3 linked regions of the Macaca fascicularis genome follow. The protein of the gene in region 3 purifies or fractionates together with the protein of the main gene of each other region. This does not show direct contact. Links are inferred from orthologs where the notes say so. Each region holds a gene or a part of one and is shown on either strand. Other genes may lie near its edges. The genes, in order: PARP1, SIN3A and CHD4.

The links.
Region 1: the proteins of CHD4 (region 3) and PARP1 purify together in Homo sapiens (affinity purification with mass spectrometry; 4 studies listed by BioGRID and IntAct, with this or other methods). This does not show direct contact. The link is inferred for Macaca fascicularis from reciprocal best matches to the Homo sapiens genes CHD4 and PARP1.
Region 2: the proteins of CHD4 (region 3) and SIN3A purify together in Homo sapiens (affinity purification with mass spectrometry; 3 studies listed by BioGRID, with this or other methods). This does not show direct contact. The link is inferred for Macaca fascicularis from reciprocal best matches to the Homo sapiens genes CHD4 and SIN3A.

The regions. Positions count from the first base shown.
Region 1 is NC_088375.1:84,275,311-84,285,464, forward strand, and holds the end of PARP1 (poly [ADP-ribose] polymerase 1), read right to left. Parts: intron 9,570-10,154; coding exon 9,447-9,569; intron 8,858-9,446; coding exon 8,729-8,857; intron 7,346-8,728; coding exon 7,247-7,345; intron 6,457-7,246; coding exon 6,304-6,456; intron 5,374-6,303; coding exon 5,246-5,373; intron 4,465-5,245; coding exon 4,403-4,464; intron 3,417-4,402; coding exon 3,302-3,416; intron 2,957-3,301; coding exon 2,875-2,956; 3' UTR 2,415-2,874; downstream 1-2,414. UniProt on the Homo sapiens protein: Poly-ADP-ribosyltransferase that mediates poly-ADP-ribosylation of proteins and plays a key role in DNA repair.
Region 2 is NC_088381.1:52,614,052-52,624,205, forward strand, and holds part of SIN3A (paired amphipathic helix protein Sin3a), read right to left. Parts: coding exon 10,013-10,154; intron 9,457-10,012; coding exon 9,340-9,456; intron 5,921-9,339; coding exon 5,682-5,920; intron 4,452-5,681; coding exon 4,268-4,451; intron 2,394-4,267; coding exon 1,820-2,393; intron 1-1,819. UniProt on the Homo sapiens protein: Acts as a transcriptional repressor. Corepressor for REST. Interacts with MXI1 to repress MYC responsive genes and antagonize MYC oncogenic activities. Also interacts with MXD1-MAX heterodimers to repress transcription by tethering SIN3A to DNA.
Region 3 is NC_088385.1:7,495,688-7,505,841, forward strand, and holds part of CHD4 (chromodomain-helicase-DNA-binding protein 4), read right to left. Parts: intron 9,672-10,154; coding exon 9,320-9,671; intron 9,231-9,319; coding exon 9,142-9,230; intron 9,043-9,141; coding exon 8,909-9,042; intron 8,570-8,908; coding exon 8,425-8,569; intron 8,096-8,424; coding exon 7,930-8,095; intron 7,891-7,929; exon of another isoform or gene 7,754-7,890; intron 7,669-7,753; coding exon 7,571-7,668; intron 7,453-7,570; coding exon 7,323-7,452; coding exon of another isoform or gene 7,317-7,322; intron 5,482-7,316; exon of another isoform or gene 5,234-5,481; coding exon 5,162-5,233; exon of another isoform or gene 4,886-5,161; intron 4,880-4,885; coding exon 4,742-4,879; intron 4,656-4,741; exon of another isoform or gene 4,608-4,655; intron 4,466-4,607; coding exon 4,357-4,465; intron 4,253-4,356; coding exon 4,120-4,252; intron 1,076-4,119; exon of another isoform or gene 984-1,075; intron 1-983. UniProt on the Homo sapiens protein: ATP-dependent chromatin-remodeling factor that binds and distorts nucleosomal DNA. Acts as a component of the histone deacetylase NuRD complex which participates in the remodeling of chromatin.

The sequences.
Region 1 (10,154 bases), on a different chromosome or scaffold from region 3:
AACCTAGATGACCCACTCTAGGGAAAAGTAAAGAGAAATCAGAAAACCAACACTGACCTCTTAAACCACACAAATGGGTATATTTGGCACATGCCAAAGGGAAGCTGCCGTCTAACCTTCCATGCTGAGGCTGAATGGCAGAAATGAGGGGCAGTGGGATGCTGCTAAGCACTGTACCAGACCTCCCTAAACCCCCATGGCCCCAAATTAGACTCAATTTGGAAGGCCCTGCCTTATGAAATGGTGGAAACACTATGCCTCAAAAAAAAGCAACCACCAATCTCTAAGGAGTCAAAACAGAATTTAAGGGAAAGGCAATGACACCATTGAGAAATGTGAACTCCTAAGGCACCTGGGTGTACTTTATAGAGTGGAATAAAACCAGCCCAACAGGTCAGAGGTGAATGATTCCCAATGTGCAGATCTTAACAGTTAAGATACAAGGTTTCTGAAGGCCAAAGGACAAAGCACAACTTCCAGGCTTTTGGTGTAAACAGTTAAGCTGAGTACATACTATGCACGCACCAGGGGCAAGGCTACCAAATAGATTTCATTCCTAAAAGCAGTACTTGAGGTTTGCCCTAAGGCAAAGTTCCCCGCAAATCATTCTACAGCAGCTTTGCCTTAGTGCTCTGGGATGCTGAAGGAATGGTTCTCCATCTCTTGTGTAGCCAAGAGATAACCACCGATGCAGAATTCATTGGCTAGCACATTGGCTAAAACACTACTGTGTACGTAATGCATCTTTTATAGATGTATGCATGCACCGCCGTGGAACAGTGTGCTCTGAAATGTCAGCCTAGTAATGCCTTGGGCAACTACTGCTGGCCAAGGGCACTTCCAGGCACAAAGGCAGGAGGAGGGCAGCTCATCAGGAGGGGCAGAGGGCAGTTCCTCTCGCTTCTCTCATGGAGCACCCTGAGTTTCTATGCAAGGTTGGCTTTAATTTTTAAATTAAATTCTCACATTTTAGCTGCTACCCTGAGATAGGACTTGAATTTTTTCTTTTTTTTTTTTTGAGTCGGAGTCTTGCTCTGTCACCACACGTGATCTCAGCTCACTGCAACCTCTGACTCCTGGGTTCAAACGATTCTCCTGTCTCAGCCTCCTGTGTAGCTGGGATTACAGGCGGACACCATGTCCAGCTAATTTTTGTATTTTTAGTGGAGATGGAATTTCATCATGTTGGCCAAGACGGTCTCCATCTCCTGACCTCGTGATCGGCCCACCTTGGCCTCCCAAAGTGTTGGGATGACAGGCATGAGCCACTGCACCTGGCCAGGACTTGAATTTTTTAAAAGCGAACAGAGAAAAGCAGAATGTGTAAACTAAAACATAAAATGCTAATTTCTCTCTTTTGAAAGGAAAATAGATTGAGAAATGTGAAATCTTCCTTAAAAAAAGAAACCAGTTTTGATTACAGGGAACCCATTAAGTAATCACTCCAACCTAAAAATACTTTGTTTAATCAGGTACTGTGAGGGTAATTGCCTTTCTCTGTGCTGATAAAAAAAAAAAAAAAAAAAAAAAAAGGCAGAGTGCAGAATACTCAGAAGCCCAGGAGCCCCAGAGCCTGGATTGCTGGATAATCAGGAGAGAGGGTCTCCAGGTCAAAGGTGCTGGTCTTGAACTCCTGGCCTCAAATGATCCTCCCACCTCAGCCTCCCAAAGCACTGGGATTACAGGTGTGAGCTACTACCTCACTTGTCCCCTTCTGTAAAAGGTCAGAAGTGACATAAGACACTGGCCCTGGCTTTCAGGCAATTGAAATGTAAACCTTTAAGTATGATTCTCAAATGTAGAGTAGTTGTATGAGGCAATGTGGTGTATGAAAGGCAGTCCTCCGGAGAGCAGGATGAGTTGATCACCACAATGCATCTGGTAAGTTGGAGGGGAAAAAAAAAAAAAAGTGTCTTCCTATGCCTGGTGCTTGTTTTTCTGCCCCTTAGGTGGGGCATTCCCATTGAGCAATGCTGTTTGTTGCCTGGCACGTTCTGGAGTTTCACAGATATGGGTAGAAACAATCCCCCCAAAGTCTCTTGGGACCTTGCACTGTGAAGATTAACCATATCTGTAGTCAGAATGAGAGCAGACACGCAATACACAAATAGAGAAGGCATCTGCATTTTTAATCGAGTATTACTATTAGCCCTTGGATAAGTATATTGGCAGTAGAGTTTTAATTTGGAAGACAAAAGTGCCCATAAGAAAGTCAAGAATTTCAAATGAAACTTTTAATACTACGTATTTCAAGAGCTCCCATGTTCAAGTATTCCTAGAGAAGGAAAGCTCTTTTTGTTTCTAAGTATGAGAAATTGTTAGCGTTCCTTCCTTTGGTCTTCCCACACCCCTCACAAAGAGGCAAACAAAATAAAAAGCGGACAATAAGTGCAAGATAAAAAAGAAAATCTAAATAGTATGAAATTAGTTTTTATTTTTAACTAAAAATAAAATGCTTAACATCTTTCCAAAATCGAAACTAAAGACGAACACTTAGAAAAGAGAGTGGAAACGTATTTTTCCTTCCCTGGGGAAACCAGTAAGGCAGACGTTCTAACGAAGCTTGGTTTTTTCCACAGGACTAGTCTATGCAAACAGAATCTCTCTCCAGCCTTTTCTCTATGTCAGTTTTATCTACCTGGCAAGAAAAAACAAAAACAACCCCCAAACAACCCCTCCCCACAAACACAACACAAAACAAGGGACTTGAAAAGTTGGAGAAAACCTTTAACGCGTTTCTGTAAAATCCTTTCTGAGGTGGTTTAGTACAGGCACTATCCATGCGCAACTTAGTTGGCCAGGTGAGTTGGTGCAGAAGCGCTTCAGGTGAATTCATACCAGAGCCACCGGGTGTGAGTCGGCCACCTCTCCCAATTACCACAGGGAGGTCTTAAAATTGAATTTCAGTTTCAGCAGATACTTCAGATTTACCTGAGCAATATCGTAGACAATGTACCTGAGGGGAAGCTTGTTAAGGAGCCAACGGTCATACAACAGAGGGTACATGTGCCTCATCTCCCCCAGGCTGGCAGGACGCTCAGTGCCAGCCTGAAAGTCACTCTAAGTCTTCTTCAGGCAGACTGAGGAGAGGAGATCATTCTCTGGAAACTGGGGGAAGGCTCATACCTTGTTAGCCAGGCTATGCACAGGGAGGGACCACGGAAGGGAAACAGTCACCATGGGACAGACTACAGGACAGCCTCTAATCCTTCTCTGCCCTGGGTAATCTGACAGCATGTAAGTGACTCTGTAGCTCGAGAACATCCCTTTGTGCTCACACAGCATACTCAAGAAAGGATACTCGTTATATAGTAGACAGGTGTCATTCACACCAGATGAAATCCCGGTCCCAAGAGGAACCTCTACACCATCCAGACTAATACTAGCTGAAGGGTCAGGGGTAGTTTTGCCCAAACCTGAAAAACAGAAGTCACAAGTGACATGAACTGTGAGAGCAGATGTGGCAAAGGTTCCAGGGAGATGAGCTCTATTTGATGTTGAGTCCATGTGGCCTTTTTTTTCCCTTTTTGAGATGGAGTCTCACTCTGTCGCCCAGGCTGGAGTGCAACAGCATGATCTCAGCTCACTGCAACCTCCGCCTCCCGGATTCAAGCAATTCTCGTGCCTCAGCCTCCTGAGTAGCTGGGATTACAGGCACCTGCCACCATACCCAGCTAATTTTTTGTATTTTAGTAGAGACAGGGTTTCACTACGTTGGCCAGGATGGTCTCGAACTCCTGACCTCAGGTGATCCACCGCACCCAGTCTCATGTGCTTATTTTAAAGACATGCTCTGCTCTATCTTTCTTCAGATACAAAACTAAGGCAATAAATCAAGGTTTCCAGGGCATCAACCTTCACTGAGTTTCATGAGAACAGTGGCAGTACCCTCCATACAGGGTCACATTTTGGCTTAACAGAATTCCAAAGCAGCCACTTCAACCAGGCAGTGGGAAGTTCTAAATCATATGCTGCAAATTCTAGCAATGCAAGATGCTCCAGGCTACAAGATGCTGTAGCTACAAGTTAGGTTAAAGCCCAAACCCATGCACCTGGTTACTGGTGCCTGCACCAAGATTCTCCTGGGGCATCTGTGATACCAGCTGCAGCCACAGAGAGAGAACTGTTTTTAAAAATGAACCTCCTGCTATAGAGCTTGCCTTTTTTTTTTTTTTTTTACAAAAATAAATAAAACGAACCTCCAATCACGGTCAGCTGCAGCATATTAACCACCACTACCACCCCCAAACAACAACAACCACACACACACCCCAAAAGGATAAAATGAATCTCCAGCTGTTTGACAGCCAGCCACAAGGCAGCCTTCTCAGGACAGCAAGCCCCCCGTTCTGTGCTGTCCAGGGTGCCTTGGGCTGTAGCAGCAGCTTTGGAAACACTTTACCTTTGACACTGTGCTTCCCCTTGGGTAACTTGCTGATATGTGAAGCGTGCTTCAGTTCATACCTATTCAAAAGAGGACGGGCTCAGAAGAGGCTTTCACACTGTGCTCTCAAAACCAAGTTTGATTAGGAGAATAAGATCAGATATAGAGATGAGATAAAAGCCCACAAAACCCAGACCATCTTAACTGCTCAGGCTTCCTCCCGAGTTTCTGGAACTGCTCCAGAACCTGAAGCTGCGGTTGCGGCTGAACATAGTCTGTGCCCAGCGATCACTGCTATGGGGCCATTTTCAAGGAAAGGCCCTATATGGAGTGGTGAACGGCAGCTCTGGGTTTCCGTCCACATTCCACAGTCCCCAGACCCCTGGCCATTTACATGACCCTGTGCTTTTGGTTACAGTTCACAGGACTAGGGTGGATGTCCAAATCAAGCTGGACTAATCAGATCTTTCTCTGTGGAGAATCTGGAAGTGGGATTAAGATTCCAGTTCTATTTGGGTTGGTCTAAGAAAACTGAAACACTGCTGAGTGGAGGAGGAGGCCATGGGGGATCATCCTTTGTGCAACTCAATCTCTCTGCTTCCCAGTCCGTGGAGAGAAGACACTGCCAGCTCTGGAGGCCTGGCTGCGTTCCTGCCCTTGCATTTCCTGAAGTATCCTTGTATCTCCCTTGTTCCCTTAACTTGAATTGGATTCTGTTATTTACAAGAAAAGAATCCTAATTGGCAGGTCCAGTAACTGTAGTGGGGAATTTCCACTCTCCCAGCCAAAGGGAGTTCTGCCTATAGCCCATTCCATCTGTCCCCATGAAATGCCATCGGTCCCAGAGCCAGGTTTACTCACATGTTTCCAAGGGCAACTTCTCCCAACACGATTAAGCCTATTGGGTCTCCCTGAGACGTATGGCAGTAGTTGGCACTCTTGGAGACCATGTCAGCGAAATAGATCCCTTTACCAAACATGTAGCCTGTCTGGAAGGTTGGAAAAGGGACAGCTGAGAATCTTCTGATGGGAAATTAGGAGCAGCTGTTCACTGAGTGCCAACATGAGCAAGCCACCCAGCTAAGTGCTGCAATCCATCACTTCTAATTCTCACAATGCCCATGCTGAGGAAACACCAAAGTTTTAGCTCACAAGCCAGGCTGCTCAGATCCTAGCTCTGCCAGGTGCCAAGGAGCTGCAAGAAGCTATGTAACCTTTCTGGACTCTACTTGCCTCTTTTAAGTGGGGAACATAATCTCATGGAGCTGCTGTGAGGATGGAATGAGCTCATCAATGTTACTTAAACTAGTGCCTGTCAACACCCAAGGAACGCAGACTGGTATTTTTATTCCCTTTTGTAAGTGAAACACAAGGTTCACAAAGGGTAGGCCATTTGCCCATTATACACTACTGCACAGCACCAGAGAGCATCATTTAAACCACTCTCCTCCTCGTTCTACAACTGTGAAACTAGAGGCTTGGAAGGCCCTGTCCAGCTGGACCCATCTAGAATCCAGCAGGTGGCATCACGACCCCTCGTGTCTGGGTAAAGCCTTACTTATTTATCACTACGTTTTCCTGCTGAAGACACTGACACTCAAGAGGTGGCCCGGCTGGGAAGTGGTAGAGGTAGGCCTGGACTCAGCTTGGCCTGTAGCCACGTGTCTGTTCTTTGCTCATCAACACACCCAATTAGCATTTGCAGCAGGCCCTGGCCTGGATGCTCTATCTCCTTTGTTCCAGAAACTGTGTTTGAAACTCCTGACAGGATCAGGGTCAGGAGGATAAAAGGGTGAAGGCCTAAAGAAAGGATGTCTGGCAGCATCCCCCTAAGCCAACTAGGCCTCTTACTCAAAGTTCTTTATGGAGACACCTGCAGAGACAGGTATTGCCCACCCCTCACTAGGCCAGGCACATACCACAGGTGCTTCAGGCGGGGCTATCCGAAGACCCTGGGACAGGATCCCGGCAAAGTTGGTGGTCCTGGACCCGTGCCACAGCAATCTTCGGTTATGAAGCTGCTTAAAGGGCTTGTAGCGCTGGCATTCGCCTTCACGCTCTATCTTAAAGATCTGGTTGTAGTAGTAAACAAAGGGAGGGACAAAAGAAGCCATTTGTTACTCTGGTTGATTGAAAGATAGGACTGGACACAGGAGAAATGACTGGCTGTCCCTAAGGCTAGAAGACTTAAGGTCTGCTGCAATGCAGAAAATGTTTTCCACAAGGCTGGGATGGAAGGTCAAGGTCTGGCCCAGCAGAGCCCAGCCATTGCTAGTTAGTATTACTGTGCAGCAGATGTGCACTTGAGGAACTTTATCTTAGACCTCTGATAATTGTACGTTCTGAGACCAGGTTTGGGGATGGGAAATGTCCTTTAAAACATAATAAAAAGCCATCCCCAAACTACTGTATAAGATGCTAATTTTATAATCTCAGCACTTTGGGAGGCCAAGGAAGGCAGATCACCTGAGGTCAGGAGTTCAAGACCAGCCTGGCCAACATGGTGAATCCCTGCCTCTACTAAAAATACAAAAATTAGCCAGGTGTGGTGGCGCATGCCTGTAATCCCAGCTACTCTGGAGGCTGAGACAGGAGAATCACTTGAACCCGGGAGGCAAAGGTTGCAGTGGGCTGGGATTACACCACTGCACTCCAGCCTGGGTGACAGAGTGAGACTCCATGCCAAAAAAAAAAAAAAAAAAAAAAAAAAGACTACTAATTTTTCTGCTGAACAAATGAGTCACTTCTTTGGATTATTTAAAGTAAGTAAACTGCTCTTTTCTACCCAGGCCCAGGTTGGAGGAGTGGGCAGGGAAAAGCTGGCAGGACACAGAAGAAAGTGGGGGAAGAAGGGATTCTTACATCGATGACTTCCAAGTCATACGCATTGTGTGTGGTTGCATGAGTGTTCTTAACATACTTCCTGATGATCTCGGCTTCTTCAGAATCTCTGCCAACCACCTGGGTAAACAGAATCTTGGGATTAGCACAAAGGAGACCCCAGGAGAGCTACAGAGGAGGAATGCTCAGGCTCAGTCGATGCACAGCTCAACACCACACTCCTCAAAGGAAGCCAGGCATGACCGAGAGCCTGTGTCCCAGGCCCGTGGGCTGGGCAGATCCTGGGCCAGTGGCTCCACTTTCCTCTTCATCTACTTGGGCTCAGGGTTCCTTTTTGTCTTAAAATTCTATGTTTTGGGATATCAGGGAAGCTGGAATATGGGGCTCACTGTCAGTGAGCAGGGCATTTCCAGAACAAGCAACTGGCTCCTGGAAGAGAGTCCAGCTCAGCATGAGTTAAAACACAATGGGCCAGAGGAAGTCACAGCTATGATGTGCAATTAAAATTATCCCTGGCTCAGTGCACAAGCCTAACAAGCAGCTGTCAAATAGCTGACGTAATCTATGCTAAGTAAACCTGAGTATTATAGATGAGACTAGTTATGTTTTATTTTCATATTTATATTCAAAGTTCAGAAAACCTAGGAATGCTGGTCTACCTCACTGTCTTTTAATTAAAAGTCTTCAGAATTGTAAACAGAGAATAAGAATCCCTTCACAAAGAACCACCCCCACAGTTTTCCCATCAGGAAGGTGCTCTAGGGGCAAAATAAGTGACATGTGGCGTCTTACCTGCTTGGACTCACAGATCTACACTTTGTCCTAGGAAAGGAGCAAAGGCTCTTTCTTTAGTGATGTAAACACCTGGTACCAGACTCAACACACTAGCCCACCTGAACCCCTGCAACACTGCAGGGAATGGGCTGAGGACAATGGGGCACATGAGCGTGGAGATAGGCTCAAGGACAGGGCCATCTAGAAGCTGAGGCAAAAATCCCTCCTCTGTTGGTCTAAGCAGGGTGTTCAGAGACTGTGTGTGCCAACACAGGCCACTTTAGCTCCAGAGAAAAATGAACCCAAGCACTGTGTTTTTATTAGAGCTGCCATCAAGCATTTCCACTTCTGAAATGGACATCGGTAATAAGCCCTCTAAAAGTTCACACCACAAGGGTTTAGAAAAACAGAGTTCCTCTCTAGATTAAGGAGGGGGAAAAAAAAAAGAACTTTTGGTAAGACCCTCAAAAATCAATTTGTATGCCAAGCTGAGGTGCTGGCTTGGAAGGCTGCCTTGCAAGCAAGGTGCATTATCTACATGTGAAATGCCCAGAGGTTCTCAAAGGACCACCAGCAGCAATGTCCGGGAACTTGTTAGAAAAGTAAATTACTGGGCACCAGCCATCTGTGTTTTAACAAGCTTTCCAGGAGATCCTAACACACATGCAAGTATGGGACCGCTGCTCTCAGGATGAGGTTAAATGTTTGAGGAAGGCCTGACCCTGTTACCTTAATGTCAGTTTTGAGCTTCTCATAGTTGACATCGATGGGGTCCTTGCTGCTATCATCAGACCCTCCCCTGAGCAGACTGTAGGCCACCTCGATGTCTAGCAGGTTGTCAAGCATTTCCACCTTGGCCTGGAGGAGCAAAAGCAAGCCCCTGACTTAGGTATCATGGTGAGTGAGACAGACTCACCCAGGTGGCAGAGAAAACCTACATGCAGAGAACGTTCAACACAGTGAAGGGCAAACCTTCCTGCTGGTCAGGGCCAGCCTGTTACCTGCTGCACACAGTGAGCTCTCCTAAGGACTTCCTGGAATGCTAACAAGGCCTTGCGGCCTGGGGGAGTTGAGAGGTGGAAGAACTGTCTTTCCTCTCATACAAGCTGACATTTGGGACCTATAATGAAGGTACTTCAGACAAATGTTTCCTGAGCCAGGAGCTCTCTTAAAAGGCAGAGAGGGAAAATGGGGAGGAAGACGTTGTTATGAGGGAGAGGCTCTCCCTCTCCAACAGCTCTTTCCCCAGTGGATTTGGTGGAACAGAGGCAGGAAAAATGGCTCTGCCTCCATCAGTGTGGGTAGAAACCCAACTTCAAAACAAGGGCAAGGAGGTGGCCCTCCCAGCATCGGCGCTGCCCTCGGGGATCATGACGGGGAGGGACGGTTGCAAGGGAGTCACACCCTCGCCCAGCAGACCTGCAGTCCCTTCTGAACCCTTGTGTACCTGCACACTGTCTGCACTGTTCAGGAGCGGAGGCTTCTTCATCCCAAAGTCATGGGGGATCAGGGTGTAAAAGCGATTTGAGAGATCCAGGATCTGAGAGTCGCTGCTGCCCTGAGACACTGCCTGGAGACGAGGGGACAGAAGGAACACAAGACTGACGAAGCAGCTCCGAGCCCCCGGCCAGGCTTTCTCTTCTAGCAGGTGGGTGCTGCAGCAGGTCCAGAAGTAGCGTGGTATGTGCACATGCCAGGATGCATGGGAAACGACCAGAAGACCACCTTCCTGTTAAAGCTACACCACTGAGCAGCACAGGACCCCCATCCTCTAAAAGCACTGCTCAACACAATGGGCTTCTCCCATGAACTTTCATTTGTACAAAGAACTGTGCAGTTACAGACATCTGAAACCCCGCCACAACTATGCAAAATGTTAACTGTAAAATCTAGGTGGTGGGCTCATGACTACTGCTGTAAAATTTCTTCAACTTTTTGTATGTTTGAAACATTTTCATAATAAAATGTTGGGAGGAAGTTGCCCATTGCTATAAAATTCAGTCAGGCTCCTTGTCTCCACTGACCTTCATTGGCATTAGTTTTTACTGTACCCGGAGGTTGAAGTGGCCAGGCACAGAAAGGCTAAGCAACCCTTACACTTACTGCCAGTGTCACTTGGTGCTCTATATGTAAAGGGTGTGCAAAAAATGCACAG
Region 2 (10,154 bases), on a different chromosome or scaffold from region 3:
GAATCATTTCAACCACTAGCTAGAATAAATCTCATCAGTTGTTAGAGACATTTGGCAACTAGTAGAGGGCACAAGGAATGTTAAAAGAGTTTTGCCTTTAGTTTACTAAAGACTCGTTTATATAAAGTTCGAAAACAGACAAATCTATCTCTAGTGTTAGAAATCAAAAAAGTAGAAAAAGGATTGGTTATCAGAGTACTGGTTATGTTTCGTTTCTTGAATATAGGTACGTCTAGTCTGTAAAAATTCACTGAGCTTCACAATTCTGATTTGTATACTTTTCTATATATATATGCTGAACCTTGTGTGTGTGTGTGTGTGTGTATATATATATATATATATTTTTTTTTTTTTTGGTAGAGATGGGGTCTCACTTATTAACCAGGCTGTTCTCAAACTCCTGGCCTGAAGTGATCCTCCCGCATCGGCCTCCCAAAGTGCTGGGATTACAGGTGTGAGCCACTGCACCCGGCCTATACTTGCATTTCAACAAATAGTTGACTAAAACGAAAAGAGTTACAAAACCAACTATTTGTCACTGACTAATTGGTTACTTGCTAGTCGTGTTTGTGCTGGGGAAAAAATGCTAGGAGCAAAACCGAGTTGTCTCCATTTATCTGAAGTCTGATGAATTCATTAAAAACAGGCGGAACAGGACAATTACTGTTTAAAAGAGGCAACTGGCTTGAGTTTCATCACAGAGTATCACATTGTTTAGGTCCATAGAATAGGTATGGGCTTTAGACTCCAAAATATACCACTGCTATGAAAACTGCTTTTATGCCAGAATGAAGTCTTGAGTCCAAACAAGCTATGGTAAATGTGAGGGTTGGCATTATCAGACAAGACAACATTACGTAAAGCCTCAAACCAGGTTAAGTCCATGGCCAAGCCAGGAATAAGCCATTTTATTTCTAATTTCTACCCAAGTAGATTGAATCACCACAATGAGGTCTAAAATTTATCTTTTTCAAGCTAGGACTAGTCCAGATAAAAGCTTTCAGAACTTCCAGTGTCATTAGCTCCTCAACAGATAGAAGGCTAAGGCCATATCTGGGCTTCCTACATTAGCAACACTTTAAAAAAAAAAAAAAAAAAAGATACACTCCTCAGATTGACTATTTCCTTAAGAGCCCAGAAGAAATCCTTCATGAAAAAGCTTTTGGCTCATAGCTCAAGTACTTAATTTATGAAGTGAACTGGAAGCAGGCAGTACAAAATTACATAAAGCACATGACAGCGTCCTGAACCCTCACTTACTTTCCTTTTCCTGGGTTCTACATCTTTATCCCTGTCCTGCCTGTTCTCCATGTCTCACATCACCTCTTCAGTTCCAGTCTCCTTCGCATAAATTATTTCTACATATTAGGAATGAGCCATAAACCCTACTGGTTAAATGGAAGTCCTGCCCAAAAATATGAGAAAATTCTGTTTTAAGCACTAGGAATTTATGTTCTGTCATGGATTGAAATTGACTGTGACAGTTTAGTCTCTATCTGTACTTTGAAACAGCTGGCAGTAACCCAGAAATCTGCCATTTGACAAATTAACAGCGATACCCCTTTCCCTGGTATGTCCACAACACCAACCACTGACCAAGTGTCCATGATCTAAGCCCTGCATAGGATACTTTGCACAAAGCAACAGCACAAGGCAACTAGCATCTCCATTTTTCAGATAAACAGGTTCAGAGAGTTTAACCAACTACACAGACTCTAAGGCCTGTGCTCTATTAATAAAAGAAGCAGTCCCAAGTCTAGGTAGCTCTAAGGTCCTCAACCTCACACATCCTCTGTAAATCAAAGGTCTCAGCACTCACTAGGTTCTTTGAGACGTAGCTGAATGGCAGGGCTGTCACTCTTGTCTCGCTTTATGCCCAGCACTTCCCGTTCCCATTCTCTCTCTCGGTTTTCTTCTTCAATTTGTCGTTCGGCTTGGGAACAAATCCGTAGCAGCCTCAGGCAGAGAATCTGGTGCAGTCGCATAAAAATATACCAGTTGTTATTGACATAGAAGAGGTTGTATACTTCATCCATTCCTCTTAATTTTTGAGCTGCTGTGTTACTAAACAGTAACTTGGACTTAGGGGGACTGCTCCCAACACCATTGTGCTTCTTAACTGCCCCTGTGGCTTCATCTACATCCATCTCTTCTTCTTCCTCTTCCTCCACATCTGAGAGATCACCTCTTTGGGCAAAGAGCAAATCTGGAATAAAATGATGCATGATTTGTTTTATCTTATACTTGTCCTCCTTCTGAATGCCTGTCTGCCTCTTCACATGGTGGATAATCAGAGCAGCAGCATCTTCCAGTATTTGTTTGTCTTCATACGCAAGTGAGAGGTGTGGGCCAACAGGTACACCAGCATTCTCCTCCGTAGCCTGCTCTTGCCTCTGATGGGACAGAGACACAAAAATATTCTGTGAGGTGTCTACAGCGACAACATGCCTACGAGACCACACCAGCCATACATCCCATTATCAACTACAGTGTCTATGTTTTTCTAATAAAAAACTTAGGACCTGGGGTTGGGAGCGGTGGCTTACACCTATAATCCCAGCACTTTGGTAGGCCGAGGAGGGCGATCACTTGAGGTCAGGAGTTTGAGATTAGCCTGGCCAACATGGTGAAACCCCATCTCTACTAAAAATAACAAAATTAGCTGAACATGGTGGTGGGTGCCTGTAATCCCAGCCTTCGGGATGCTAAGGCAGGAGAATCACTTGAACTCATGAGGCAAAAGTTGCAGTGAGCCGAGATCGTACTGCTGCACTCCAGCCTGGGCAACAGAGTGAGACTCTGTCTCCAAACAAAAAACAAAAACAAAACTTAGGGCCAAACCGTAACAATAATTTTGTCCCTCTTCCAGAAACAAATAGGTAATGACGGAGATGTGGTTTGATGTCAAAATACAGGTACCTTCTATACCCCAATGACTTACAGGGCGAGTGGGACAGAACTGGAGCCATCTTTCTTTTTCTTTTTTTTTTTTTTTGACAGGGTCTCGCTCTGTCACTTAGGCTGGAGTGCAGTGGAACAATCCTGGTTCACTATAACCTCCATCTCTCGGGTTCAAGCCATTCTCATGCTTCAGCCTCCTGCGTAGCTGGGATTACAGAAGTGTGCCACCATGCCAGGCTAATTTTTGTATTTTTGTTAGAGATGAGGTTTCACCATGTCCCCAGGCTGGTTTCGAACTCCTGGCCTCAAGTGATCTGCCCACCTCAGCCTCCCAAAGTGATGGGATTATAGGCGGAAGCCACTGTGCCCCGTGGGACTATCTTTCAAAATTCTGGACTAGTATTTATATAGAGGATATGATATGAGGTCTGTAATTTACTTCTGGGGTGGGGGTACGGAGGGTGACAAAGTAACATCAGCAAAATATGGATTAAGTTTATTTATTTTATTGATTTTGAGACAGAGTCTTGCTCTGTCACCCAGACTACAGTGCAGTGGCATGCTCTCAGCTCATTGCATCCTCTGCCTCCCGGGTTCAAGACATTCTCCCACCTCAGTCTACCAAGTAGCTGGGACTACAGGTGCAACCACCATGCCCGGCTAATTTTTGTATTTTTAGTAGAGACGGGGTTTCATCATGTTGGCAGGGCTGGTCTCTTTAACTCCTGACCTCAGGTGATCCGCCCGCCACGGCCTCCCAAAGTGCTGTGATTACAGGTGTGAGCCACTGTCCCCGGCCTGATTGAGTTCACCTAAGAGCTCATTTTACTATTTTTAAAATTCAGGATCACCCCACTCCAGGAATTCCCAATTGCACTGCATTTATGTTTCTATCCATCTGCTAAAACTGAGCCCATGGAAACCAGAATTGATTGCTTATTCATCTCTGATCCTAGCTCCTAGTACTATTTATAGTTCTAGTAGGCATGCTGAATAAGCAAGGATTACAAAGAGTTTGGTGGTCAATGACAAGTTTTGAAGCTATAGTAAGGAGAGATGGGACTATATGATACAAGGTATTGTTTGAGGGAAACAGGCAGTGGGAGAAGTGGAAAATGGAGGCAGGAGGTATAAGTTGAAACCAGGATAGTAAACTAGGGAACTAGTCAAATAGCTTAGGTATAAAGGTAAAGTTTAGATTTAAAATAGTAGAATGAGGAATAGAAAAGGCTATGACAGCTATAAAGCAGGAATCAACAGGTCTTAGAGAGTCTCACCTGCATTTAACAAAGGTAATTTCCAGAAATCAAAGCTGTGCTAAACATAGACTAGAGTCCACTCACAGATGTAGAAAACCCCAGCTCACCTCATCATAGATACTCTCAATCTCATTGAGTAAGCTCTTAGACCTCAGGACCTTTGTGTCATTCTGTTTAAAGTTGATCCCCTGGTGGTCCAGAGACTTCAAGTAGTATTTCTCATTTTGTTCTCGCCATACTTTGTTAAAGCCTCGCTGAGCTTCTCGCCATTCTTCCTCTTTCATCTTCAACCTAGTGAAGTGGGAAGGGATGGAAACAACATATGGGAATTCAGAGGGTTTAGAAGAAAGAAATTTGCCAGGTTTACTTTCTTTCAAGAAAAGTCAAAGCTATATTAGGTCTGTCAAAATTATTGGCAACTTGGGATGTTATCAAACCAGTCTTGAACTCTGTTTCATGAGGAAATTACTTATCTAAGACTTATTTTGGGGAAATGAGTTATCTCAAAGTCAAATAATTTACCTAGAATGGTTACTTATCAAACAGCATTCCAGGGAATACCTTTGAGATGTAAGTATTCCTTGCAAAAAGAGTTCTTGTTTCTCTGCTGTAGGACTTTGTAAAATGTTCACAATGCTAATAGAAACACAGAAGTCCAAGAGCAGAGAACTTGCACAGTTATGTTCCTCTGGATACAGTCTGGAAAGTTCTGATCAGAACTGATTCTAATAAACCAGAAGAGAACAGGCTAAGACAAAAAAACAGCACTAAAACTGAAGAATAACCTATATTTCAAAAGCCAGAAGTTAAATACTACAGGCAAGAAGAAGAAACCATCAATCTGTGCCAGCTCTTGAGGGGAAGATGAGGGAGGACAAATAAAATCTGGGTATTTGTGAACTGTGCAGCAACTAAGAATTAGTTTTTACCAGATGATACTGAGAGAACCAAGCTCCTAACAAAGGATTTACAGTGTGGTCAATAATGACATGGGGCTGGGCATGGTGTGGCTGGTGCCTGTAATGCTAGCACTTTGAGGAGGCCAAGGCAGGAGGACTGCTTGAGCCCAGGAGTTAGAGGCCAGCCTGGGAAACATAGCAAGACCTTATCTCTATTAAAAAAAAATAAAATAAAAATTAGCTGGGTGTGGTGGTGTACTCCTGTAGTCCCAGCTATTCAGGAGGCTGAGGTGGGAGGATCACCTGAGCCTGGGAAGTTGCGGCTGCAGTAAGCTGTGTTCTTACTACTGCACTCCAGCCTGGGTGAAAGAGAGAGATCTTGTCTCAAACAAACAAACAAACAAAAAAACCACAAAGATGTTAACAACAGTTAGTCCTGAGCGTGGCAGGAACATGGGTGGTAATTATCTTCTTTTCTGTATTTTAAAATACTCCCCCAGGGTTGGGGAGAAAGAGAGGTCTCATGGGACAACCAGGTTGAAAATGAGAGACTTATTTAATGGGACACTGAACCAGTAATGAAGTACACACTAAAGCACTAAGGGCACATTTGCTCAGGTACCTTTTAAGGACAATCGGAACAGCAATGGAGGGATTCTTTCTCAGACCATCAATGATGTCAGCTGCTTTATCAGCATATATCCTCTGGAGTGCTTTTCTATGGATGACTTCTGATGTGCCCCCAAGGGTGTTGTCCAAGCGAAATTTGGCTTGTTCCTCAGCAGACAAGCGGGAAAGCTTCTTCTGTATTGCTTCCAGAACCCGGATTGTTGCCAGATTGGTCTCTAAAACTACATCAAGCTGAAGAGGAAGACAAAGAAGGGTATGCTCAGGACCCAAATCAGAATAGAATAGAGTAGTGATTAGAAAAATAAGGTAGGGAGTCAAACTCCTTGGATTTGAATCCTGGTTCTGCCCTACTAGCTACATAAGACTGTTTCTTTATCAGCAAAATAGGGATAACAGCACCTATTACTCTCACAAGCCTATTTCTGGATTAAATTATACAATCCACATAAAGTATTCAGCGCAATACCTGGCACATAAGAACCACAGGATGAAGCTGGATAAACGGTAGTTATCACCACCACCACCTGCACCATGTGCTTTGCTTAAGACTACTGATCTTAGACCGGAGGAACCTAACAAGAGATGACTTTACTGATACTTTTCCCTGAACTTTCCTGAATTGCTAAGATCCGTTATGAACAAACAATAACAATCAAAACAATACCAAAAGACGGCTCTGTCTTGAGAGTTTTTTTTTTAACTTGAAATATTTAAATATATTCAAATACTAAAATACTCAATAGCCTTGTTCCACATCCAGTAATAATAAGAGCAGTGACTATCATACCCTAAGGAGTTCACTGTTGTATCTGCGGGTAATGATTTAAATTCTTATTGGACTCCTAAATGAACAGTCTACAACCAAATGTTTGCAGAAGTGTTCCCTAAATTTTCTTGTTTTGGAAATGTGGTCATCATTTTGTCAATACTTCTGGCCCCTCTTGCTCTCCAATTACCGACAAAAAATGGACTAACTTCCTGACTCCCTTATGATTGGATAGGGTCATGTAACTAGTTCTGACAAATGAGTTGTTATGAGTTGAGAAGAAGTAATGTTTATCACTTCTAGGCTGGAGCATTTAAAGGTGTGAGATCCTTCTGAGATCTCTTTTCCTCCTAGTGACTAGCAACAATCATAATGGTGGCAATCCCTTGGCCTGAATCCCCAAGTGATTCTGATATGCCAAATCCCCTGCTAAACATCAATGTACATGTAGAATGATTAGAAATTAAACCCATTGGCTTTACAAGTCACTCAGATGTGGGAGCTGTCTGTACTGAAGCATTACTAACCTATCTTAATTGGTAAACATGTTCCTTCAAACTCGCTCATCCCACCAAATCTTAAACACATGCTTACCCCACTTCTTTCATCTTTGCCCTTGTAGTCATAAATGGGAAATGAAGTTGCCTCTCATTTGGAAGCATACCAGTTGAGAGGGGATAGGAACATTCTGTCAAAAACAGATGCCAAGCTCTGCTAACTCATCAGCTAACCTTACTAAACATAAGTAACAAAGAAATGCTTGCTTTTTTTTTTTTGAGACAGATCTCGCTCTGTAGCCCAGGCTGGAGTGCAGTGGCGCAATCTTGGCTCACTGCAAGCTCCGCCTCCCGGGTTCACGCCATTCTCCTGCCTCAGCCTCCTGAGTAGCTGGGACTATAGGCACCCGCCACCGCGCCCGGCTAATTTTTTGTATTTTTAGTAGAGACGGGGTTTCACTGTGGTCTCAATCTCCTGACCTCGTGATCCGCCCGCCTCGGCCTCCCAAAGTGCTGGGATTACAAGCGTGAGCCACCGCGCCCGGCTGAAATGTCTTCTTTAGCTTGATAGCACTCCCTATGGAAGTTAACATCTGTCATGATTTAGTTTTCTGCAAACAGGTGCACTACTTATAAATGCTGGGGCAAAGATGGCCAACCACCTGCCAGTGGCCAGGCAGCATGTGGCTCTTAATTAAAAACACACCAGAAACAGCTGAAGCAAGTGTGAGGATGGAAAGCTCGCAAAGAGCTAAAAGAGTACTTAAAAAAAAAAAAACAAAAACAAAAACAAGATACCTATCCATACAAATAAGCACAGCCAGTCAATTTAATGTAATAGATACACTAAATAGGATACATGTCATTTTACCTCTTTAGACAAACCAGACTTCCCTTTTTTAAAATGATAATGTAAACCAGACATATAAACACATTGGGGATTTTGAGCCCACTTTCAGTAGTCCCCCTCCTGATACAGGTGGTATGGGGCCCTCTACCACCTCATTTATTCACTCCACTCTTCCCTTCCTAACTACTTCAAAATAAAGTTCCTGGGACAGGCGCAGTGGCTCACGCTTGTAATCCCAGCACTTTGGGAGGCCAAGGCAGGTGGGTCACTTGAGGTTAGGCGTTCAAGACTAGCCTGGCCAACATGGTGAAACCCGTCTCCACTAACAATACAAAAAAAATTAGCCGGGTGTAGTGGCATGCACCTGTAGTTCCAGCTACTTGGGAGGCTGAGGCAGGATAATGGCTTAAACTCGTGAGGCAGAGGTTGCAGTGAGCCGAGATCACACCACTGCACTCCAGCCCGGGTGACAGAGCAATACTCTGTCTTAAAAAAAAAAAAAAAAAAAAAAAAAAAAGGCTCTAATTTAACCTTCTTTCAAAAGGAGCCAATTAGGCCAGGTATGGTGGCTCATGTCTGTAATCCCAGCACTTTGGGAGGCCAGGGTGGGATGATCACTTGGGCCCAAGAGTTTGAGACCAGCCTGGGTAATGTAGTAAACACTGTCTCTATAAAAAAACAAAAAATTAGCCGCAGGGGGTGGGAGGCAAGGGGAGGGAGAGCATTAGGACAAATACATAATGCATGTGGGGCTTAAAACCTAGATGACGAGTTGATAGGCACAGCAACCCCCATGGCACATGTATATTTATGTAATAAACCTGTACGTTCTGCACATGTATCCCAGAATTTAAAGTTAAAAAAAAAAAAAAAAATTAGCCAGGCATGGTAGCACATGCCTGTAGTCCCAGTGACTTGGTGGTGGGCAGGGGTGGGGGTCTGAGTGGGAGGGTCATACTTGAGCCTGGAAGGTTGAGGCTGCAATGAACTGTGATTGTGCCACTGCACTGCAGCTTGGGCAACAGAATGAGACCCTGTCTCAAAAAAAACAAAACAAAACAAAGCAATCAATACCAGAAACATGAAAGAAAAATTCCAGTTCTCATAACAGAGCTGGTTTACTAACCATGGCAAGATACTTGCTAAGGGTAATGATACATACAGATCTTAAATAATTTAAAAACAGTTTTAAGAAAGTACTATAAACCTTAGGATGCTGATTTTCTTCACCATGTAAAACACAATAATCTTAAAATGCCATGCAAAATCAAAAGAACTATTATTCAGTCATCAATGGACCATTTCAGTTAAAAGGGCTAGCTAAAGTGGCCTACATAAGTCACATTTGCCATAAAACATGTACTAATATATTTGACCAATGCACAAAGCATGGAAAGTACCACAACAAGCATTTACCACAGAAGAATGTGAGCCTCTGGCTCTTCCATCTTAATACCCCTCAGAGATAGGTATTAAGATAGTCTTTCACTGAGCATCTCCCATATCCCCCAACTTCAAATGCCAAAGAAGCTTGTACCTCAAAGCGCTCATCTTCACAACGATAAATATGTTCTTCATATTGAGTCTTCTTGGAACTCACAAAGGTGGAGTCCTCAGACCACGAAGGGAAGGAAACCCAGGTATCATTTAAAACCTTTGTGTAGAAGAAGAGAGACTGAAACAAAAGCCTAAAACAGCTTTCTGGTGATTAAGCATTCTCAATAAAAAGACAAAACTCTAGCGGAGAAATAGGCAACTAACATTACTTCACAAATTTCACCTTTAGCAAGTTTACAAAAAGGTATTAGTAAGAAAAGCGTTCTGAATATAAGTGGAAATATAATTCCAGTGCTTTGGGAGGATGAAGCGGAAGATCACTTGAGCGCAGGAGTGACCCCATCTTTACAAAACTAAAAACTTCTATTTTTACATTTTTAGCTGGGTGTGAAGGCATGTGTAAGTCCCAGGTACTTGGGAGGATCATTTGAGCCCAGTAGGTTGAGGCGCTTTGAGCACTCCAGCCTGGGTGACAAAACAAAATCCTGTCTCAAAAACAAACAAAAAAGTAGAAAACATTTTTTTAAAAAAAAGGACTAAAAGCATTCTTAATTTCATCATTCATATAAATTCTCAATCCTTGGTACCACCACTCCCTTCTGGAAAAAGCTGAGGACCCAGGGCTGATCCTTGTTAGGGAAGGAAGGCCTTACCTCTTTACAGAGAGGAGTCCTTCCTGTACACTTGGGCTGCTGGTAACTCTTTGGTAAGGCTCGATAGCTGGAGCCCAATCGTTTACAAGAAGCATAATCTATCTCCATAGCAATGCCCTCTGTGGCTCGTTCCTTTGGATAA
Region 3 (10,154 bases):
ATATATCCTGATGTTTTTCTTTTTAGGTTTTTTTGTGCATAGTTTTTTACATAACTGAGATCATACTATATACATATCCATATTATGTTTTCATTTAGTTACAGTTAAACATTTTCCTTTTTATCATCTACACTTTATCAACTACTCTTCAAAAACACGTTTTGGCTGGGCACAGTGGCTCACACCTGTAATCCCAGCACTTTGGGAGGCTGAGATGGGCAGATCACTTGAGGTCAGGAGTTCAAGACCAGCCTGGCCAACATGACAAAACCCCATCTCTACTAAACACACAAAAATTAGCAAGGTATGGTAGTGCACACCTGTAACTGCTGCTGCTCAAGAGGTTGAGGCAGAAGAATGCTTGAACCCGGGAGGCAAAGGTTGCAGTGAGCTGGGATCATGCCACTGCACTCCAGCCTGAATGACAGAGGGAAACTGTCTCAAAAAAACAGGGTTATTTTGCTATTTTAAAATATTTTTTTTATTTCCTCTTATCGCCATCTCACTTCCATTCCTCTGAAAAGCAACCTTTCTAATATAGTAATACTGTGGCTTTTTGTGTAGGTTTTTAAAGACTGTGTTGTTTCATATGTATGTTTCTAAGTTACAGAATGATGTTTTCTGTACCTATGCTTTTTTTCTCCCACTACATATTTTTTAAAAGGTACACTTATGTTGTATGCACATGAATTTTGTTGCTTCTGTTGTTTAATGCCCCATAATATGAATACATGTTTTACCTATGCATTCTCCTAATGCTGAACATTTAGGTTGCCTCTAGGCCCCCATCACCAAAAATCATACTGCAGAAACACTCATGCATATGTCACCTGATGGAGCTGTATTAAAGGTTCTTTGAAATATATCCCAAGAGGCAGAATGTTGGTTCTTAATTTATGAAAAGATTTTAATTACTTAAAAAATATATTCATAAAACCTATGACTCAACATATGAGATTTCTTATACGCTTCTCCTCTCCTAGTGTCAGCCAGCACTTCTATGCAGATGATTTGATGCTTCTCAAACATGTACCTTGAGCACTGGTTCTGATCCCGCTAGTGTATGGTGATGCGGGTAGGTAGTGGGAGGGGTGCTGATTTGTGAGAAATACCAAAAGACTTGTCTAAAATTCAGTATCATTCTTTTCTACAAACTGCTCGCTCTCTTCTTAAATGACAATTCACCTTTCTCAGTGACTCAGGCTCAAAATGTTATTTTCAGTCTCTTTCACTCTGTACCTCAAATCCAGTAAGTCAGAAGTTGGCGAGCTACAGTCTGTGGGCCAGCTCTGCCCCACCACCTGTTTTTATATGGCTGAAGAGCTAAGAATGGGTTTTACATTTTAAAATGGTTGGCAAAAAGTCAAAACAAGACTATTTCATGCCACTTAATGAGAATTATACAAAATTCAAATTGTAATATCCACAGATGAAATGCTGAAACACATCCTAACTTATTCGTTTATGTATCCCCTGTGGCTGCTTTCACACAACGAAGACGGAGTTAAGTATGTACAACAGAGACCACATGTCCCACAAAGCCTGAAGCCTATCTGGCCCTTTAATAGAAAAGGTTTGGTTGGGTGCAGTGGCTCACGCCTGTAATCCCAGCACTTTGGGAGGACAAGGCAGGCAGGTCACCTGAGGTCCAGAATTTGAGACCAGCCTGGCCAATATGGCAAAACCCCATCTCTACTAAAAACACAAAAATTAGCCAGGCATGGTGGTACATGCCTGTAATCCCACCTACTCAGGAGGCTGAGGTAGGAGAATTGGTTGAACCCGGGAGACGGAGGTTGCAAGTGAGCTGGGAGATGTCACCACTGCACTCCAGCCTGGGCAACAAAGCGAGACTGTCTCCAAAAAAAGGGGGTGGGTTTTATTAACCATTTTTGGTTTGCGGAAGAGTAAAAAGGTTTACTGACCCCTACAATAAGTCACTAAGTCCAGTAAATTCTTTGGTGTTTTGTTTCCTTTATCTTTACCCTTTTCATTTTCCACAACCAGCATCACAGCCCAGACCCTTAACACCTCATGATTATATGATAGTTTTATAATCTTATGAATGCTGTTTCCATTTCCCTTGGTCCTATCAAAACTCTGCTCACAAACTTTCAGTGGCTGCCCATTAACAACAGGGTAAAGTCCAAACTCTCTTATCTGGTGCCAAGAACCCACCTACTGACCTCTAGCTCTTCTACCTTTCTCTTTCCAACCTACCTCCCAACCATCACCCAACACAAATGTTTCCCTACAGCTCAACTGGGCTATTTGCTGTTTCCAGACATACTAAACTTTGCTGCCTCATGTCTTTGCCCAACCTAATCCCTTTGTTCAGATACTCTTCTGTTCCTACCAAAAAATCTCCATCGCATTCCTCAAAACTTTATTCCAACGCCATCTTCTCCATAAAGCCATTTGTGAGTTCCCTCCCTACTCCAATTCCTCTGGAGAACTTTTTTTTTTTTTTTTAAAGACAGGGTCTCGGATGACGCAGTGGCTCAGGCCTGTAATCTCAGCACTTTGGGAGGCCATGGCGGGCAGATCACGAGGTCAAGAGATCAAGACCATCCTGGCCAAATTGCTAAAACCCCGTCTCTACTAAAAATACAAAAATTAGAGGCTGAGGCAAGAGAATTACTTGAACCCAGGAAGCAGAGGTTGCAGTGAGCAGAGATCACACCACTGTACTCCAGCCTGGCAACACATCAAGACTCTGTCTCAAAAAAAAAAAAAAAAAAAAGCGTCTTACTCTAATGCCTAGGCTGGAGCGCAGTGGCACAATCTAGGCTCACTGCAGCCTCCCGAGTAGCTGGAACTACAGGTGCACACCACGAGAATTGGTGAATTTTTGTATTTTCTGTAGACGTGGCATTTTGCCATGTTGCCCAAGCTGGTCTCGAACTCCTGGACTCAAGCAATCAGTTCTTTTAAAATGCTGGGATTAGCCACTGTGTCTGCCTCTCTGAGACCTTTTTCTTTTCTCTTCCTTTTTGAGATGAGTCTCGCTCTGTTGCCAGACTGGAGTGCAGTGGTGGGATCTCGGCTCACTGCAACCTCCGCCTCCCGGGTTCAAGCAATTCTGGAGAACTTTCTTATGCCAATCAGCAATCTCTCTCCTGATATGCAGAATGGCATTCATTTGATTACACATGTGCTCCTACTTGAAACTGAAAGCTCCTTGAAAACAGATACCATACTTTGTCTCTTTATCCCTGGGCACATCATTGCTTAGTACATAATACTTGAAGGCTTATTAGTGTGCATTTCTTCCCCGATTATACTCAGCGTATGAGACAACAGACATGTCTTTTTCTTTTTCCTTTTTTTGAGACAGAGTCTCACTCTGTTGCACAGGCTGGAGTGCCATGGCACAATCTTAGCTCAATGAAATCTCCACCTCCCAGCTTCAAGCGATTCTCATGCATCATCCTCCCAAAGTGCTGGGATTACAGGCATGAACCACTGCGCCTGGCCCACACAGCTACTCTTCAGCCCAGAAAAAGATGCCAGGCACAGTGGCTCACGCCTGTAATCCCAGCAATCTGGGTGGCCAAGGCAGGTGGATCACTTGAGGTCAGGAGTTTGAGACCAGCCTAGCAACATGGTGAAACCCCATCTCTACTAAAAATACTAAAAACAGCTGGGTGTGGTGGCGGGCGCCTGTAATCCCAGCTACTCAGGAGGCTGAGGCAGGAGAATCACTTGAACCCAGGACACAGAGGTGGCAAGTGAGAAGAGACTGCATCATTGCATTCCACCCTGGATGACAGAGACTGTCTCAAAAAAAAAAAAAAAAAAAAAAACAGCAGCCCACTGACTGATAGATACAGCTCTACCTCTTCAGAGATGCAATTCAATCCCACCTCTGTATCTTTCCTGAATACTCTACAGTGTTCCCCAAACAAACCCCTCTGCACTAGTGTCGCTCATTGGACCATAGTCACCTACAGCTCATGTACAGTTAGTTAACTTTCAAGTCTGTGTGTCTTCAACCCTAATGTGTAAGTTACTTGGAACCAAAGCCTTCCATAGAATGAAGAAAGTGAGAACGGTGCACTGGATGGACAGACTCCCTCCGCACTTAAGCAATCAATATATTCCTCCCCAACCGCTCACCTTAAACCTTCGAGCTAGAAATTTATTCTTGATCTCTAAGAAATTGCCACGGTTCATTTCACCCTTGAAAGGCTCATTGAGGATGGCATAGCGTGGGTCATTCTGGATGTCTTGCCACCGGGCATAGCCATGGCTATTGGAAAAGTGCTCAGGAAAAACAAAACAAGAAAAGTAAAAACCTCAAACTAAGAGACCTTCAGAACCAAAAGCCTCAGTCCAGATTCAGGCAAAGGATACTTTATGATGCCGGCTAGCAGCCAGTAGTCATGCCGTCGATGCCAGATCTCGTAAGTCTTCTTGGTAACTGTGGCTGCCCGCTCTTCATTCTGCCAAAGGGAGTGCAACTCTGAGGAGGAATTTAGGGAAGGTGGGAGGGGGGGCGGGAAGCAAACATCTGTGAGAATTGAAAATGCTACTTATTCTTGTCCCCCACCATCCCCCATCCCTGGATCCATCTTTATATAATTTGCTTCTGGCTTTCTCCACAGAACCCAGGGGAGTACACTATCAGTTTGGCATTCCCTCATCGAACAGAGGTAAAGTCCCTGTACCACGGTTTCTGACAAGAACCCCAATTTCACATCCGATCCTTCTAACCCTGGTGGGCCCCTCATTTCCATACCAGTAAAACCACCATCTGCAATGTTGAACATGAAACGCTGTTTAATATTTTTCTTCTGTTTCTCATCATTCAGGTCCTTGGGGGTCTCTCCATTCTGAAGCATCACCTCTTTTTTCTCTTCTTCTTCTTTCTTCTCTTCTACAGAATATAAGGAAGAAAAATGTCGGTTCCAGCCAAAGCCCAGCACCCATCGCCCTTACCCAGAACACTGTATGCTACAAGAATCCATCCACCTCCACCCCTTCTCCACCTGGGTGTCTCTCAGACCCAGAAAATGGTGCCATCGGCCCACTGGGGACAGGTGCAGTCTTTTGGGATAAAATGGCTAGATGAGTGTGGACAGGGAGGCAGGGCAGATACAGTCCTTGCTTCCGGTTTTAGAGTTCTTCTAAACCACAATCAACTTCTCCAAACACCCACCTTTGTCTTCTACCACAATAGGGGTCAGATCTATTGCTGACTTTTCCTCCACCTTCTCTACATCAGCAGCACCTAGGGGAAGAAATGTTATTGAAAATATACCTAAAGGAAGAACATTCTCCTCTGTTACACACTATTATCCAACTGGATAGACCTACATCTAAATGTCTGCGATTACAGTAATGTCAGCTGGGCACAGTGGCTCATGCCTGTAATCCCAGCATTTTGGGAGACAGTAGCGGGCAGATCACTTGAGGTTAGGAGTTCAAGACCAGCATGGCCAACATGGGAAAACCCAATCTCTATTAAAAATACAAAAATTAGCCAGGTGTGGTGGCTCATGCCTGTAATCCCAGCACTTTGGGAGGCCAAGGTGGGTGGATCACCTGAGGTCAAGAGTTAGAAACCAGCCTGGCCAACATGGTGAAACCCCGTCTCTACTAAAAATACAAAAATTAGCCAGGCATGGTGGCTCACGCCTGTAATCCTAACACTTTGGGAGGCCGAGGTGGGTGGATCTCGAGGTCAGGAGTTTGTGACCAGCCTGGCCGACATGGTAAAACCCCGTCTCTACTAAAATACAAAAATTAGCCGGGCATGGTGGTGCGTGCTGTAATCCCAGCTACTCAGGAGGCTGAGGCAGGAGAATTGTTTGAACCCAGGAGGTGGAGGTTGCAGTGAGCCGAGATCATACCACTGCACTGCACATCAGCCTGGGCGACAGAGCAAGACTCCACCTCAAAAAAAAAAAAAAAAAAAAAAAGCCGGGCATGGTAACTACTCAGGAGACTGAGGCAGGAGAATCGCTTGAACCCAGGAGGTGGAGGTTGCAGTGAGCCAATATCGTGCCACTGCACTCCTGCCTGGGCGACAGAGTGAGACACCATCTCAATAAATAAATAAATAAATAAATAAATGATTAGCTGGGCATGGTTGTGGCATGCCTGTAATCCCAGTTACTCGGAGGCTGAGGCAGGAGAACCGCTTGAACCCGGGAGGCGCAAGTTGCAGTGAGCAGAGATTGTGCCACTGCACTCCCGCCTGGGTGACAGAGTGAGACTCCATCTCAAAAAAAAAAATAAAAAAAAATAAAGTCATAAGAGATAGGAAAACCTGCCACCTAAAATCAAGGGTGCAGGATTCTTCAGTGTATCGCTTCCTCCTGATATCTCTACAGCCCCAGTGAAAATTCATGAGTGACCATGGTTCACACAGGGATCTGTAGTGCCTAAAAATATGGACACCAGCCAGGCACAGTAGCTCACGCCTATAATCCCAGCACTTTGAGAGGGCAAGGCAGGTGGATCACCTGAGGTCAGGAGTTCGAGACCAGCCTGACCAATATGGAGAAACCCCCTCTATTAAAAAATACAAAATTAGCTAGGCATGGTGGCACATGCCTGTAATCCCAGCTACTCAGGAGGTTGAGGCAGGAGAATCGCTTGAACTCAGGAGGCAGAGGTTGCAGTGAGCCGAGATCGCGCCATTACACTCCAGCTTGGGCAACAAGAGTGAAACTCCTTTTTTTTTTTTTTTTTTTTTTGAGACGGAGTCTCACGCTGTTGCCCAGGCTGGAGTGCAGTGGAGCGATCTCGGCTCACTGCAAGCTCCGCCTCCCGGGTTCCCGCCATTCTCCTGCCTCAGCCTCCTGAGTAGCTGGGACTACAGGCGCCCGCCACCGCGCCCGGCTAATTTTTTGTATTTTTAGTAGAGACGGGGTTTCACTGTGGTCTCGATCTCCTGACCTTGTGATCCGCCCGCCTCGGCCTCCCAAAGTGCTGGGATTACAGGCTTGAGCCACCGCGCCCGGCCCAAACTCCTTTTTTTAAAAAAAAAAAAAGAAAAAAAGAAAAAAAAAGGCCAGGCACAGTGGCTCATGCCTGTAATCCTAACAATTTGGGAGGCCAAGGCGGGCGGATCACAAGGCCAGGAGATTGAGACCAGCCTGGCCAACATGGTGAAACCCTGTCTCTACTAAAAACACAAAAATTAGCTGGGCATGATGGCATATGCCTGTAATCCCAGCTACTCGGGAAGCTGAAGCAGGAGAATCGCTTGAACCTGGGAGGTGGAGGTTGCAGTAAGCCAAGATGGCGCCACAGCACGCCAGCCTGGCAAGAGTGCGAGACTGTCTCAAAAAAAAAAACGTGGATACCTTTACCTTTGGGCTCTGTCTCCATAGGTTCCTCTGTTCTCTCCTTCACCTCTGCCTTTTCCACTTTCTCCTCTCCCTCAGGGGGTTCAGCAACGACCTTTTCATCCTCTGAGGCAGGGGCAGGGGGCTGTGTACACTTCAAAGGAAAAAAAAACAAAAACAAAACAGATGAAGCAGACAGGCCAGCAACTACAAGGAAGACTGGACTTATACATTTGTCTTTAGTGTGGCATTCAGTCACCCCCATCTCTTACCTCAATGGCAGTCTCAGGGGCTACAGATTTAACCTCCTTTTCTCCTTCTATGCTCTCTTCTTCTTTGAGGCTATTTTCCTCTATTTTGATCCCATCTTCTGCATAACAATAAGAGACAATCAATTAGGAAGAAGGTCCTACATCAGAGAGAAGGTCATTTCTTCCCAGTTTGTCTCATCTTAAACTGTCCTCTCGTGCCTTTAAGAGCCAGCCCCATTCTTAGGACGGCCCTCCTAAACTGAGAGGGAAATTGCTGTGTGTCCTGCCAGACTACCCTGTTAGAACTGAGCACAGGGGAGCAGAAAAATAGGCCAGGACAAAAAGAGAGGGACAGAAAATGATAGGACAGGCAGACTTACCAGCAGGTGGGGCAGGTGCAGGAGTGTTGGGCTGCGTATCCCCTGGAGTGGAGGGTGTAGGAGTCTTTGGGGAGGGTGACCCTGGCTGGGACATTTTCTTGTTTTCCTCTACCTCAGCCAGTTCAGGCATGCTCCAGCGCCCATTAACATGTTCAAACTCCTGAACCTGTAGCAATGGGACAAGAAATTGAAGACCCAATTCCAGCTGCAGGCTCCTTTCCTATTGGCCCTCCAGTCTCCGCCTCCTGGGTTCAAGCAATTCTCCTGCCTCAGCCTCCTGAGTAGCTGGGATTACAGGTGCCCACCACCACACGCAGCTAATTTTTGTATTTTTAGTAGAGACGGGGTTTCACCATGTTGGCCAGGCTGGTCTCAAACTCCTGACCTCAAGTGATCCGCCCGCCTCGGCCTCCCAAAGTGCTGGGATTACAGGTGTGAGTCACTGCGCCTGGCCCCCTAGAAACTTTTAACAATGGCAAGTGGCTCAGGGCTCACCTTCTTGCGAATCAAAGACATAACACCAATTCTAGTAAGGACATGCTGGCGAGACAGGCCTTCTCGAGGGACACCATCAGCAAAGGTCTCAGCCCCATCTGCCCCCGGCTCACATAAATGCCGCATAAAGAGAGAGACATATGCCCTGTGTAAAGAAGTAGAGAAATGAGTTAAACAAGGATCATGCTGACTCTTAAGATTCTTTTTCCATCCCTTCATGAGGCATTATCACAGGCAGTAACTATGGCTCCACCTTGAGGTAAAGCCCACCACTGCACTGGAAGGCTGATCTCCAGACCCCACAAGAAGACCCAGGTTCTCTTCCAGGGAAGCTAGGAACACATTACTAACAGCTTCACCTGCCAACTTCAACAGAGGAAACAGCCCACTTCCCTGCACGGCTGGGCCTAGAACCATGGAATGACCAGCTAGATAGCAGAAGAAGCCCTTGCTCTAGATCAGTCCACGCCAGCCCTCAACTCACTTGAACTCTTTCTCTGATTTGCCTCGCAGATCTCTTACAAGCCACTGGGTAGTAAAAGCATCCTGCGGTGGCATACCATATCGCATAATTGCGTTAAGAAAGGCTTTTCGCTGACGAGCATTAAAACCAAGTACCTAGGGGAAGAAGAAACCCAGGTGAGAGGGAGCAGGTCGCACTCCACCAAAGATCCAATATCTGGCACTCACCCACCCTTAGAATACCATGGCACTTACTTCAATATTCCCACCGACACGGGCCAACAGAGGAGGCAATGGCTTATCTTTATCATTCCGCAGGCCCTTACGACTGGGCCTACGGGGAGCTGCAGGAAGAAAAAGATGAATGAGTGACACAGGTAGGATATGAAACAAAGCAATATTTAGAAAAGCAACAAAAAAGCACAGCCCTCACCTTCTGAACGTTCATCAAAGTCTTCATCACCTTCCTCTGAAGCCACTGAGTAATCGGACTGGTTGTCGGACTGGTCGTCCTGCCAATCTGGAGGGAGAGAGGGCAGATGAGCGGGGCCCACTGCTCTAGTGGAACGGCCCATGGGTGGGGGGCGGGGCCGGCCACACACACCTCGGTCCTCCTGGGAGCCATCATTGTAGTTGACCTGTTTACGGATTCTTTTTCCTTTACCCAGATTTCGGGCTAGATCTTCTTGCTGCTGCTCATAATGGTGCCGCAGCAATTTCTCCCAGTAGTCAGGATCCACACTTTCTTCCTGTTTAATGATTTCCCGTTCTACCTCCTCTTCCTCCTGGGACAGAGGGAGGGCCAGGACTCAGGAGTGCTGAAGTCAGCACCACCAGCTACCCCTGGTCCTCATAGTTCCCACTCTGCTAGCTCCTTTTCATGACTGGACTCTTAAATAGTTGGTGTGCCTGTTTGGACCTACGAACTTAGAAGAAATTTAATTGAGAGTACATAGCTCCTCATAATTATGTATACATTAGCAATCAGCATAACTCAAGAAAAACATGGGATAGAGCCATTATCACAGGGAAAGATGAAGAGACAATGCTTTCTTCTAACCCCTTGCACTGGTGCATATACAATCGAAAAAAGCAAAAAGAAAAGAGGTCAGAGCCTTAGCAAGGCAGAATGGAGAAGCTTCTGAAATACTGTAAAAGATTTTCATAAGAGAGAAGAAAAGAGGTCTATAAGCCTTTCTGTTCTTCATAAACTTCATAAAAGCTTACCAACTGTCTGCAAAGCGAAAAGAATTATATATAGCCTCTTA